Linked DNA regions of Alligator mississippiensis. The protein of the gene in region 2 purifies or fractionates together with the protein of the main gene of each other region. This does not show direct contact. Links are inferred from orthologs where the notes say so. Each region holds a gene or a part of one and is shown on either strand. Other genes may lie near its edges.

Region 1 (3,742 bases), on a different chromosome or scaffold from region 2:
GGGTAAGGGGTTACCCCCCAGGGTGCATGCAAGGGATTAACCCCTCCAGAACTCCCAGACCCCCCTTGAATGCCCCACCAGGTGCCCCACCATGGGGAGATTCCAGGCCATTGGCCCTCAAAAAGGGTTAAGTTGCAGCCAAGGGCAGGGTTTGAAGGCAGGAGAAACCAGGCTCTGCCCTGCATGGGAGGGGGCAGGGCTAAGGTACCCCCTAAAACAGTGGTTCTCAACCTTTTCGGACTCAAGCCCCCTCCCCCAACTCCTGACCTGCACTTCCCAGCCCTGCCGGTGACCCTCACTCCCCAGCCCACAGCCCTCCACCCCTGCCTGTGCCTTTTACTCCCGACTTGTAGCACCTCACCCCCTGGTGGGAAGGTCCCCTGCTCTAGCCCAGCCCAGAGACTTAGGCCAGGAGAACACAATCCCAGCTCCGACATCCAACCCCTACTTCCTGCCTAGACCCAGACCTCTGGGACCCCACTGGTAGAAGACTACTAATAACTGCATGCTAACCCTACAAAAAGCACATCTCCCATGACCTCACAGCCCCTCCCACCCCCCCATGTGACCTCACAGGACCACTTACCAATTAGAAGCAGAATGAGGATTACAATGAGAACTACGAAGAAGGTGTTCCCATAGGTCACCACGGCCCTCACTAAGCGGGACCTGAAGATTTTCTGCCACCTAGGGGGAAGAGAAGGAGGGGACTCAGGCCCAGATGCCTGGGTTCTCCAGAGCTAGAAGAGCAGCAGTGTGCCTCTGGATCACCCCACCCCTGCTCCAACCCATGGACCCCTCTGAGAACCCAGATATTTGGGCTTCCAACCCCTCCTGATCCTAGCTCCACTACCCAGCTAGGGAATGCAGCCCCACCCTGCTTTAAACCCCCCCCCCCCCCCCAACCCCAAGAGAACCCAGATGTTCAGGCTCCCAGTCCCATTGCCCAGGCCCACTACCTGCATCCAGGGAACCCAGGTGTCTGGGTTCTTACCCCTAGGCTTCTTTCCCCACACAGAGAACCCCAGCTCCCAGCCCTGCCCCCCCCTGACCCATACCACCCCCAGAGAACCCAGGTGTGGGGGAGGGGGGGGGAATCTCACCTGGTTGCAGAGATGAAGGGAACACAGAGCAGCAGCACAGCAAAGACCTCAGCATAGAGGAAGGTGGCCACAGCAGTCCACTGCAGGCTCATGGCGGTGCTGGAAGGGGTTCTGGGGGGGCAGCACTAGCCCCCCATATTAGCCAGAAGGCCAGGGACACCCTCAGGCTCCCAGCCTCCCCCCCTCCTCTCTCCCTGCAGAGAACCCAGGAGTCTGGGTACAGAGTCTCCCTCAATCCTCCCAGGCAGAAATCAGACACCTGGGCTCCCACCATGGGTCCAGAATTTTTGTTGGGGGGGGGTGGGGGGAAGAGGGAAAAGAGTTGGGGTGCTAGCCCCAGCTTAAGGGAGGGGGGACTTGGAGGACTCAGGGTAGCCAGGCCCCACCATCCTGGGATGCTCCCCTGCCTCCCACCCAAGTCTTCTGATGTGGCAGGCCCATCCCTTCAATGCAGCACCTCCCCCCACAGCTCATTATCTAGCAGCCCCTGGACCAATACAACCCCACATGACAGGCCTCCCACTGCAACACCCCCTGCTTACTCACTATCTGGCAGCCCCTACCCCATACACCCCTCTGAATGGCTCACTGTTTATGACTCCCCCAAGACTTGGGGGCTGGCAGCCACCATTGCTGTAGTACCCACCCCCAGCTGTCCTAACAGCTCACTGCATGGCAGCCTCTGCCCCACTGGAAGTCCTGAATGGCTCATTTCAGAGCAGCCCCTAGATGGCTCATTATGCAGCAACTGCCTATGGCTCAGTATTGCAGCACCGTCATGGCTCAGGAGCTTTATCTCTGGCAACCCCTACCCCACCGCAACCCCTCAGAGCAGGGGCAGGCAATTATTTTGGGCAGAGGGCCACTTACTGTTTTGACAAGCCATCAAGGGCCACATGACAGGCAGCCAGGGGCAGACAAATATTAATTTTCTAAAATTTTTAGGGGCCACGTGGGCCAGATAGAACGGCCTCGCAGGCCGCATTTTGCCAGCCCCTGCCCCAGAGGCTCAACCAGTCAGCAGGCTCTCCCACGGTTGAGTGTGTGTGGCAGCCCCCAAAGCACCTGTCAAAGAGGCGGGACTCAGCCCCCTGCAAGCCCCCCCCCAGCCCGAGGCTTACTATGGGGCAGCCCCGAGGGCTCAGAACCCAGTAGCAGCAGACCCCTGCCCCACCCACCGCGCAACACCACTCACCCAGCAGGATCCCCAACAGCATCAACAACCTCCACACCGGGCCACGCCCCCCGCCCAGAAATAGGAAGTGGAGAGAAGCCCCACCCCCACCAGCCACCAATGCTACTAGAAGCGCTGTTGTCATCCCGCCGGAAGCACCACCCCTACCGGAAGCACTTAAATGAAGCGGCAGTAAGGTCACTATGACACCTATGGAGGCGAAAGTGGCCTCACACCCGCACCTTATGCTCTTTTACTCCCCGCCCCGCGCCACGTTTTCCCGGGGGTGGGACTCTGACCTCAGACTCCCGGATCCTCGGGCAAAAGTTTCCCCACAGACGGAAACCCACGAGGCTCAATCCAGAGTCACTCCGCGTTATCCCGCCCCCCCTTTCCGTTTTCGGTTGTATTGGGGCGCAAATCCGGAGTCGCTCTAAATCCGGTGGGGGGATGGGAACATATTTTCCCCGCAAGCCTTGAACCGCCGATCCCGGAGGCTTCGATGCCTCCCGCGGAGCCATAGCGCCTTTAGAAAAGCCGCGTCTCTGTGGTCCGGGTCGGTGTCTCTATGGTTAAAGGGGGCGTCTCTGTGGTCAACAGGGGCGGGGAGGCCGCAGGGCCCTCCCTTCTGCTCCCCCGCCCCCGTGGCCCGGGGGCAGGGCATTGTGGGATAAGGGCGGAACCGGCAGGCCCTGACAGCTCAGTACGCGCCCTACGGGGTAGTAGCCAGCATAGGGTGGGAGCCCAGGGCCCTCCTGCCATGGCACCTGCCATGCCCCGGGCTCGGCTCCAGCTCGCAGCTACAGGGGCTGCTGTGGCCTTAGCCACCACCGCTGCAGCTGTGGCCACTTGGCGCCTATACCACCACCGGCGCGCTGGGGAGCCCCCTGGTGGCTGGGAGGATTTTCGATGTGGCCAGAAGAGACCCCCTGGTGGTTTGGAAGACTCCAAGTCTGGCCAGACACCCCCTGGTGGCCAGGAGGTGACCCCTGCTGCCCAGGGGATGCCCCCCCGTGGCTGGGAGGACTCCAGCGGCAACCAGGAAACACCCCCTGGTGACCCAGAGGACCCCTTGCCCTCCTGGCCCTCAGAGCGGAAGGCCCCGGCAGCTGTGGATGCGGTCTTTGGGCGACGTCTGAGGCGCCTCCTGGCACTGGCCCTGTCAGGCCCCCTGAGCCCTGAGGCTGGGCTCCTGGCTCTGCACACAGCTGCTCTGGCCAGCCGCACCTTCCTCTCGCTCTATGTTGCCCAACTCGACGGGCGCTTGGCCCGGGCTGTGGTGCGATGCCGTGGCCGCCGCTTTGCCAGCCTCCTCTTGCGGTGGCTGCTCTTAGCCTTGCCAGCTACAGGTGTCAACAGTGCATTGCGCTATTTAGAAGGGCGGCTGGCCTTGGGACTACGAGGCCGGTTGGTAGCCCAGGCCTACGCCCTCTACTTCCAGGGTCAGGCATACTACCGGGCTAGC
Region 2 (3,742 bases):
GAGGGTGGCGAGACTTAGGCTCTTGCCGGTCATTGGTAGCAGTGAGTTTCTCAGTTGAGGGCCTTTCACCATAAACACCCTTGCCTTTGGCTCTGAGAAGTTCACCCGAGGTTCCTGCTCGTCATCCTCACCATGGCTGCTTCATGACCTGGAACGGGAAGTGATGATGTAAAACGCAACTATCTCTATAACTTTGGACTTCGTCTACTTCCATATGCCCTTCTGCTTCTTCCACCGCTCCTGGGAGACGGCCAACACCCTTTAAATAAAACCCTCCGGCCAAAAATGCCACCGAGTCCTCTGAAACCCTGCCTCTCTCCCCCCGAGTACTGACACCACCCTGCTGTGCAGGGCCGTCCTTCGGGTACGGCGCGACCGCTCTGAGCCCCGGAGAGACTGCGGCCCCCACTGCGGGACCTGCCTGGAGCTGGCGGCTCAGCCCCGCGCCGCGGGAGAAGCACGGAGACCTCTCCTCGTTGTGGGGGTACCACGGCCCTGCCACCCTGCTAGGCTCGGCTCTGCTCCTGTGTCACCCTCAGCGCTTCCTTCTCACCCACGGCCCCGTCTGCCCACCGCTCTCTCTGTAGGCCCAAGGTCCGGTTTGACTTCTCCTCTTGATTCGGGACCACTTCGCCCCCCGACTCGACGGCCGTCTCCTGCTCTCGGCCGGCCTCTCGCGCCCACCGACCCTGCATCACCGCTCAGCAGGAAGAAGTCCCCATACCCCAGTGTCACCCCCCCGTCCCTTTCTTCCCCCCACTCCCTTGCTGGTGCTGGGCAGCTCCTTGGACCCCTGCCCCGGGGAGGGGGCAGGGGGAGCTTCCTTGTCGTCCAAGATTGGGGGGAAAAAAGCACATCCTGTTCCCCTTCCACCCTGCTGCGCGGTGCCAGGCCCGCCCGCATCCTCCCGGGCTCTGCCTCCGCCTCCGCCCTGCTCCTTCCTTTGCCCGCCCCCGCCGCTCAGAGCCCGGCTGCAGCCGCTGCAGCGCCCGTGCGAGCGAGCGAGCCAGCGAGGCAGGGAGGCGCCTGGAGCCCGCGGGGCCGCAGGTAACGGGGCCGGGGGGATGCATCCCGGGGCCGGGGTTCGCATGCGGGTCCTGCGCCGAGCACCGCGGGCTGGCGGGCGCGGCCCGGGCGGCGGCGCGGGCTGGAGGTGACCTTCCCGCGGCGCGGCAGGGCCCGGGAGGCCTCGCTGCCCTGACTCAGCCCCTGCGCCGGGCCCGCGGGGATGCTCCCCGCGCCTCTCCATCGGCCTCAGGCCCCAGGGAGCCTCAGCCCGCGCTTCTCCCGGGGGCCAGGCCGGGACACACGTTTCGGGGCCTGCGTAGCCCTGGAGGGGCTCATCCAGGTGGCACAAAGGTCTGTCCATCGCGTGGCCGCCGGAGCCCCCCTCACTTCTGCACGCGTAGCCTCGCCTTCGCCGTTCCCGGGTCCGGAGGGAGCAAAGGTCGCCGCGGCTCCACCCGCAGCGCCGGCCCAGCCGTGGTGTCGGCCGGTCTGACCCCTCGGTTTAGCCCGTCCGGGCCACCGCCGCCGCGTGAGAGACGCGGGCGAATCGGGCCGAGCGAGTCCTCGCCAGAGCGGGAGAGAGACCAGAAGCGAACGCGGGCAGCGCGCCCTGGTTGCGCGTGCCGTTCAGCATCGTGTCTTGGTTAATGTTAATCTGGGGCAAGGCGCCTGTCGGAGGTGAAGGGGTGCAGGTCGTAGCCGTGTTGGTCTAAGGACACGGGCGGACAAGGTTCTTTGGGTGAATCTCAAATCTTTTATTCGCCCAGCTTCAATAGTTGGAAAAAAATATTTAAGCAAGCTTTCGGGTTCGCCAGGCCGAGTCAGAGGTGAATTCCCTTTCTGTGGGGCAGGCACCGCAGTGGGGAGCAGCAAGCGAGTCTGCCTCTGCCTAGCAGCAGGTGGGCTGGAGATGTACCTTGCAGAGGGACTAAATCAGTGCCCTCGCCCCTCTGCCTAGTCACAGCCTGGCTTGGACCCACTCTTTCCAGTGGTGGTAAGGCGGCTCAGCCAACATGGTCCCTGGCTATTTGTTAAAGCAAAAAACCACAGCTCCAAGCGGAGCAGAATTCACCGACGCTGTTGGGTTCGGCCTCCCGGGATAGCAGTAAAACCGAGTCCATGTTGGATTTGATGTTGCCCAACAACGGCAGAAGCCATGTAATTCAGGTTGTATTGGAGGATCACAGAAAATTTTGTCTTCTCATTCATGTGACATTTTTCAGACTTTCTCTGAAGACCGACTTGTACACTGCAGACCTCTCAAAAATGCCACCCGGAACAAGAAAAAACAAACTTCATGCAACTCCCTACTTGTTCCTTTCATTTTTACCCATCCTTCTCTGTACTCTTTCTCTGTCGTCTTCCTACTCTTCTGTCTGATTGTATGGTGGGGCCTGAACGGGGTGGCCCGGATCAGTCTGTTGCTATGGCAGCCGGCGATGTCCCCGGTTCAGGGGGTGACTTTCCTGTAGGAGGAAATCTGCAGGATCAAAGCAGCGAGAAGGCAAATCCCAAACAGGAATTTTGGTGATTTAGCAAATGAAACGCACGCTCATATAAGATTAAATATGATAAATGCTTTTTTCTCCTGGGAAAGGAATCAGCAAAACAATATATGCTGGAGGACCAACATTTAATGGGTCCACTCCTCTGATGTGGGTGTGTGTAGATGACATGGTAGACATCGTATGGCATAAAGAGTGCCTGGTGCCCTTGTCAGGGTCTCACTGCTACCCCCTGTGTCTTGATACCTGGTGGCATTGTGCTACACTGGTGCTGTAACAGTGTATCTCCTAGGCTAGCTGGGCCTATTATTCCACTGTCTACCAGACTGGGGCAGGGAGAATTGTATCCCTGGCTTTGGTTTAATATATATCTTAAATCATACAAATAAACAGGAAAAGGCTTCAGTGAAATGAAGTCTGTATCTACTGCATTTTCACCTGTAGAATCAAGAGCAGACACTTTAAAAAAATTTCCTTAATTCCCTAAACACAGATCATTAAACTAGGTTTATACATATGTGCTAAAGGTCTCCTAAAAATGTTTATTATTTGATAAATCCTAAAGAGAGAGGAACCACTAGTATGTGGAATACATCAGTATTTAAGGCCTGTTTATTTGGTCTGTCATGTGTTGGTTTGGGGTGGTTTAAAACATGTGTGCTAGCTCAGGAAACTACCAGTGAGCCCCTGCAAACTGTTTCATGAAGTCCGTGGGGTGCTGCGGGGGCTCAGGAGCATGCTTGGGTACAACAGCTGGCTGGCTTCAGGCTTAAGTTGGAAGTCACTGTGGTGACTTAGTTATATGGCTTCAGTGGAGTTGTACAATTGTGCAGAGTTTATGCTTCAGCACTTAATTCATGTGTAAGGCAAAGCGTTCACAAAGTGTGTACCTAGCTCCAGATTCTGGAGAACCTGATGTGTGGGTTTAGTTGAAGACATCATTTCAGTGGTAGTGCTGGTGTTTTAAGTTGACCACATGCAGAAGTCGTGTCAGGATTTGGCCCATAGGGCCTGATCAATACCTGAACAGACTTGTTTTTTGGACAGGAGCTGTAGTTTGAGGCACTGATGGCTGTTTTCCGTGTAGATCGTTTTTCCATAGGAACAGAGGACTGAAAGGAGTGTCTCTGGCCACTAGATCCAGTCCCCTGCATTATCTGCAAGCAAACATTTACCTACAGGTGCCAAAAATGTGCATTCCAACCCTCGCATGCCACAGCGACAAGGCA
Region 3 (3,742 bases), on a different chromosome or scaffold from region 2:
TTTCAGGGGCAGAGGGATGAATTTCCTCCTCTTGAGATCAAGGGGATTTTTCCTGAGACTGCCCCAGTTGCAGCAAGGGAAGTTAGGTTAAATATGGGGTGGAACATTTTCTGAAATGTTCTAGTGCTTTATTTTCCCATGGGAGATTTTGCATTTCTAAAAATTCATTGTTTCATAATGTTTATTAGTAACAGTGAATGGATGCCAATACAATATTAGGCAAGTTTGGCAGTTTCAAAGTTGTAACTAATCTTTTTCAGGCGATTATCCCTAGGAAGTGCGCGAGAGGGTACATATGTTTTACTGATTTGTAAACAGGAGGGTAAATACACTGGCATAATAATCCAAACTAAAACCCAAATTAGGAATTCACCTAATTGGCTGTGCAGGTCGAATCAAACCCAAAGCTCAGCCCATCGTGCACAGTTTTTAGCGTGTACCAAAATTAGCGTGTCAGTTTTCAGCACCTTTGTTTTTTATCTTAAATTTAAACAAACAATGTCAGGGAAGTACATGCTATTGCACCTCATCTTTACATTTTTACAAGTATTCCAATAAAAATAACTTATTTCCACAAAGTTTTGAATTTGTTTGAACATAACATTTAATCCACATTAAGTGTGCTCTGTTTCATTTTTTCCAATAATCAAATATTTCAGTTCGAATACTTGTGGATACTGGGACATAAAATAAACAAGGGGTACTTTTTTAGTTTTAAGTCAAGCAAACATGCTACATCAGATCACGCTCCATTTAGGGCATTGGAAAACTTTCAAAATTTCCCAAAAACCTGCACTGCTGGTTAGATATTAGGGAAAAAAGCCTCTCTCAGGAGAAGGGTAGTGACACGTGGGAACAGGTTGCCAGAGAAGTGGTGGCATCTCCTCCACCCTCAGAAGTGTTTAAGTCCCGGCTCCACAAAGCCTTGGCTGGGACGAGACAGCCGGGGAGGTGCTGCTCGGAGCAGGACTAGACGCGACCTCCCGCGTTTCGAGGAGTCTCCAGCAAACGGTCCAGTCGCCTGCTCGGGGCCCGGCCCTCCCAGCAGCCGCTGAACTTCAGCGCAGCTCCGCAGGGCGATGCTGTGTCCCCCCACCCCCGCCCCCGAGCCCGAGCCCCGCTCACCCGCCGTGCTCCGGCACCGGCACCACGGTGCGCACGGGCTGCACGACGCCCCCCGCGGGGCCGCGGGAGAAGTTGGCCAGCGCCGTCTCCAGCGGGGCCACCAGATCGCTGGCGCGCTGCAGGAGCCGCTCCACCTCCGCCGCGCCCAGGAACAGCGGCGGGTCCTGGCTCATGGTGGCGTCGGCTGCACAAACCAAGCGCGGCCCCGGGCTGCACCCTAAGTAGCCCCCCAGCTGGGGAGTGGGGGGTGGGCCCACGGCGGTGGGCGAGGCTCGGAACTGACGCATGCGCGCATCTGGGCATGCCGGACGTGCCCAAGGAGCCGCGGTAGGGGGCGCTCGGCCTTCTTCCTCCCGTCTCACCCGCGGAGCAGTAGAGTCCAGGGCACTGTGGCTAGAGAGGTGGAGCGACGCGGTGTATGCTGGGGAGGCGGAGTCGTTCTCCTGTTACCGTCATCTTTGTTTTTTCCCTGTGGCACCGCGGGCCGAGGGGTGTGGAGAGTATGGAGGGGTTACTGGCCTTAACCCGCTCCTTCTCGGTGCGTACGGCGGGATAGGGGAGTGCAGTGGGCCGGGGACGGAAGGAGGAGGAGCCGCTGCTGCCTTTCGGGCCGGGAGACGGTGCGACGCGGCCTGACGGTGGGGCAGGGGGCGCTGGGGCGGGGGCAGCTGCGAGCTCCCTGCGGCCGAGGTAGGGGTAGGACCCCCTGGCGAGTCGCGTGGAGCCGAGCCCGGCTGGGTGTCGGGCCGGGCCGGGCCGGGGCCGCGCGGCTGAAGGTCACCCGCGGCGGGAGGCGGCCGAGGACTGCGGGGCGGGGCCGAGCGTGTGGCGGGGAGGTTGCTCCTTGCCTGCCCATGTCACCCCCGTGTAGTGGCCCCGGAGAACGGGGGGTGACCGCTTCTAGCTGCGCGTGCCCTTCCCCATATTTGCTGCCACTGTGGCCCTGACAGGCAGCTACAGGTGTGACTGAACTACAAAGTAGTAGTAGGAAAAAGCCTGAAGTTTTAAATGATGTCTGCAATCCCCTTCACTGTGATAAAACCTACCCTGAAGGTCTATTTGAGGTGGAGCCGCTGTGGCAGAATCCCTATCAGGGGTCCGTGTCACGAGGAATATGTAGGGACCTTCTGCCAGAGTCTCTGCCCGGAGATCCTGTTAGGGCAACAGTAATATTTGGTTCAGTTTGCTTCTTCTCTTCAGCTTTCAGTCACGGTGGCAGCAAGCGTTGCTTCACAGCCTGAAAAGTGGAGAAATAAAGTTGAGCCTGAAAGTTTTCAGGATTTTGAAGAAGATTGGCGGGGGGAGGGAGGGGGTGAAAAATGTCAATTTTGAAATTTTGGTCCTGCTTGTTAGCTCAGGGTAGGTTCTTTAAGATGGATTGGGAGGCTCTCCTCCTTGTTTGTCATCAGTTTGGAGACCTTTCAATTAGGAGCGCACTGATAAAGATTTTTTGGGCCCATACTGATGGGTGATTGTTGACCAGCCCTATTGGCCGATACTAGAAGTGCACTGTTAGAGATTTTGGGAGCTGATACCAATAGCGGGGTTTTGGTTTTTTTATAAGAAGGTATATCAGCCAATACTGATCCGATTTCTGATACAGCTGTGTCCAGCTGGTAAGTCTGTTGTGGTGGAAGGGGAGTGGCGCTGGGGCAGGGTGAAGAACAGAGCTGTGGCTTGTTGGGGGGGGAGGGGGGTGGGGGGGGAAGAGGAGGCAGCTCCTGTTGCTGTATGCGCACCCCAGCAGGGCATGGGGGAGAGGTATGTACCCTGGATCTGTGTAGGGCAGGGTGGGGCCAGGCTTCACTCAGGGTGGGCAGCAATGGCACTGGGACAGGGACTGTGAGATTCATACGTTCGTAGATGTTAGGGTTGGAAGGGACCTCAATAGATCATCGAGTCCGACCCCCTGCATAGGCAGGAAAGAGTGCTGGGTTCAGATGACCCCAGCCAGATGGTTATCTAACCTCCTCTTGAAGACCCCCAGGGTAGGGGAGAGCACCACCTCCCTTGGGAGCCCATTCCAGACCTTGGCCACTCAAACTGTGAAGAAGTTCTTCCTAATGTCCAGTCTAAATCTGCTCTCTGTTACCTTATGGCCATTATTTCTTGTAACCCCCAGGGGCGCCTTGGTGAGTAGAGCTTCACCAATTCCCTTCTGTGCCCCCATGATGAATTTATAGGCAGCCACAAGGTCGCCTCTCAACCTTCTCTTGCAGAGGCTGAAAAGGTCCAGGTGCCCTCCTTGTAGGGCTTGGCCTGCAAGCCCCAACCCACCCCGAGCACAGTCTAGCCCAGCCTCCCTCTCCCCCCCCCCCCCCTCCAGATCTAGGGCATATGTCCCTCCCATCCCCCGTGCCCTCCCAGGGTATACACAGTGGTGGGAGCCACCCCCCTAGGTCCCTAGGTGAGCTGTGCCTCCATCCCACACCCTGCCGCTGCTGCACTCCCTCCTTCTCTGTGGAGGCCTTGATCTGCACCCCCCCCCACACCCCTTCCGTCCCCTTCCACCACAAGAGACTTACCAGCTGTACGCAGCTCTCCAAGCTGCGGGGCTGCGCTCCTTGCTGCCTGCATGCTGTGCTGTGGCTTTGTGCGTGCACGGGGCATTTATCGG

What was found.
Region 1: the proteins of VDAC1 (region 2) and BCAP31 purify together in Homo sapiens (affinity purification with western blotting; 3 studies listed by BioGRID, with this or other methods). This does not show direct contact. The link is inferred for Alligator mississippiensis from reciprocal best matches to the Homo sapiens genes VDAC1 and BCAP31.
Region 3: the proteins of VDAC1 (region 2) and cytochrome b-c1 complex subunit 2, mitochondrial fractionate together in Homo sapiens (co-fractionation; 3 studies listed by BioGRID, with this or other methods). This does not show direct contact. The link is inferred for Alligator mississippiensis from reciprocal best matches to the Homo sapiens genes VDAC1 and UQCRC2.

The regions. Positions count from the first base shown.
Region 1 is NC_081831.1:28,920,112-28,923,853, forward strand, and holds the start of BCAP31 (B-cell receptor-associated protein 31), read right to left. Parts: upstream 2,392-3,742; 5' UTR 2,299-2,391; intron 1,229-2,298; 5' UTR 1,196-1,228; coding exon 1,104-1,195; intron 688-1,103; coding exon 587-687; intron 1-586. Other genes in the region: ABCD1 (ATP-binding cassette sub-family D member 1), read left to right, coding at 2,846-3,742. UniProt on the Homo sapiens protein: Functions as a chaperone protein. Is one of the most abundant endoplasmic reticulum (ER) proteins.
Region 2 is NC_081832.1:69,787,353-69,791,094, reverse strand, and holds the start of VDAC1 (voltage-dependent anion-selective channel protein 1), read left to right. Parts: upstream 1-963; 5' UTR 964-1,047; intron 1,048-3,742. UniProt on the Homo sapiens protein: Non-selective voltage-gated ion channel that mediates the transport of anions and cations through the mitochondrion outer membrane and plasma membrane.
Region 3 is NC_081836.1:46,316,995-46,320,736, forward strand, and holds the start of cytochrome b-c1 complex subunit 2, mitochondrial, read left to right. Parts: upstream 1-1,540; 5' UTR 1,541-1,543; coding exon 1,544-1,663; intron 1,664-3,742. Other genes in the region: CRYM (ketimine reductase mu-crystallin), read right to left, coding at 1,126-1,298. UniProt on the Homo sapiens protein: Component of the ubiquinol-cytochrome c oxidoreductase, a multisubunit transmembrane complex that is part of the mitochondrial electron transport chain which drives oxidative phosphorylation.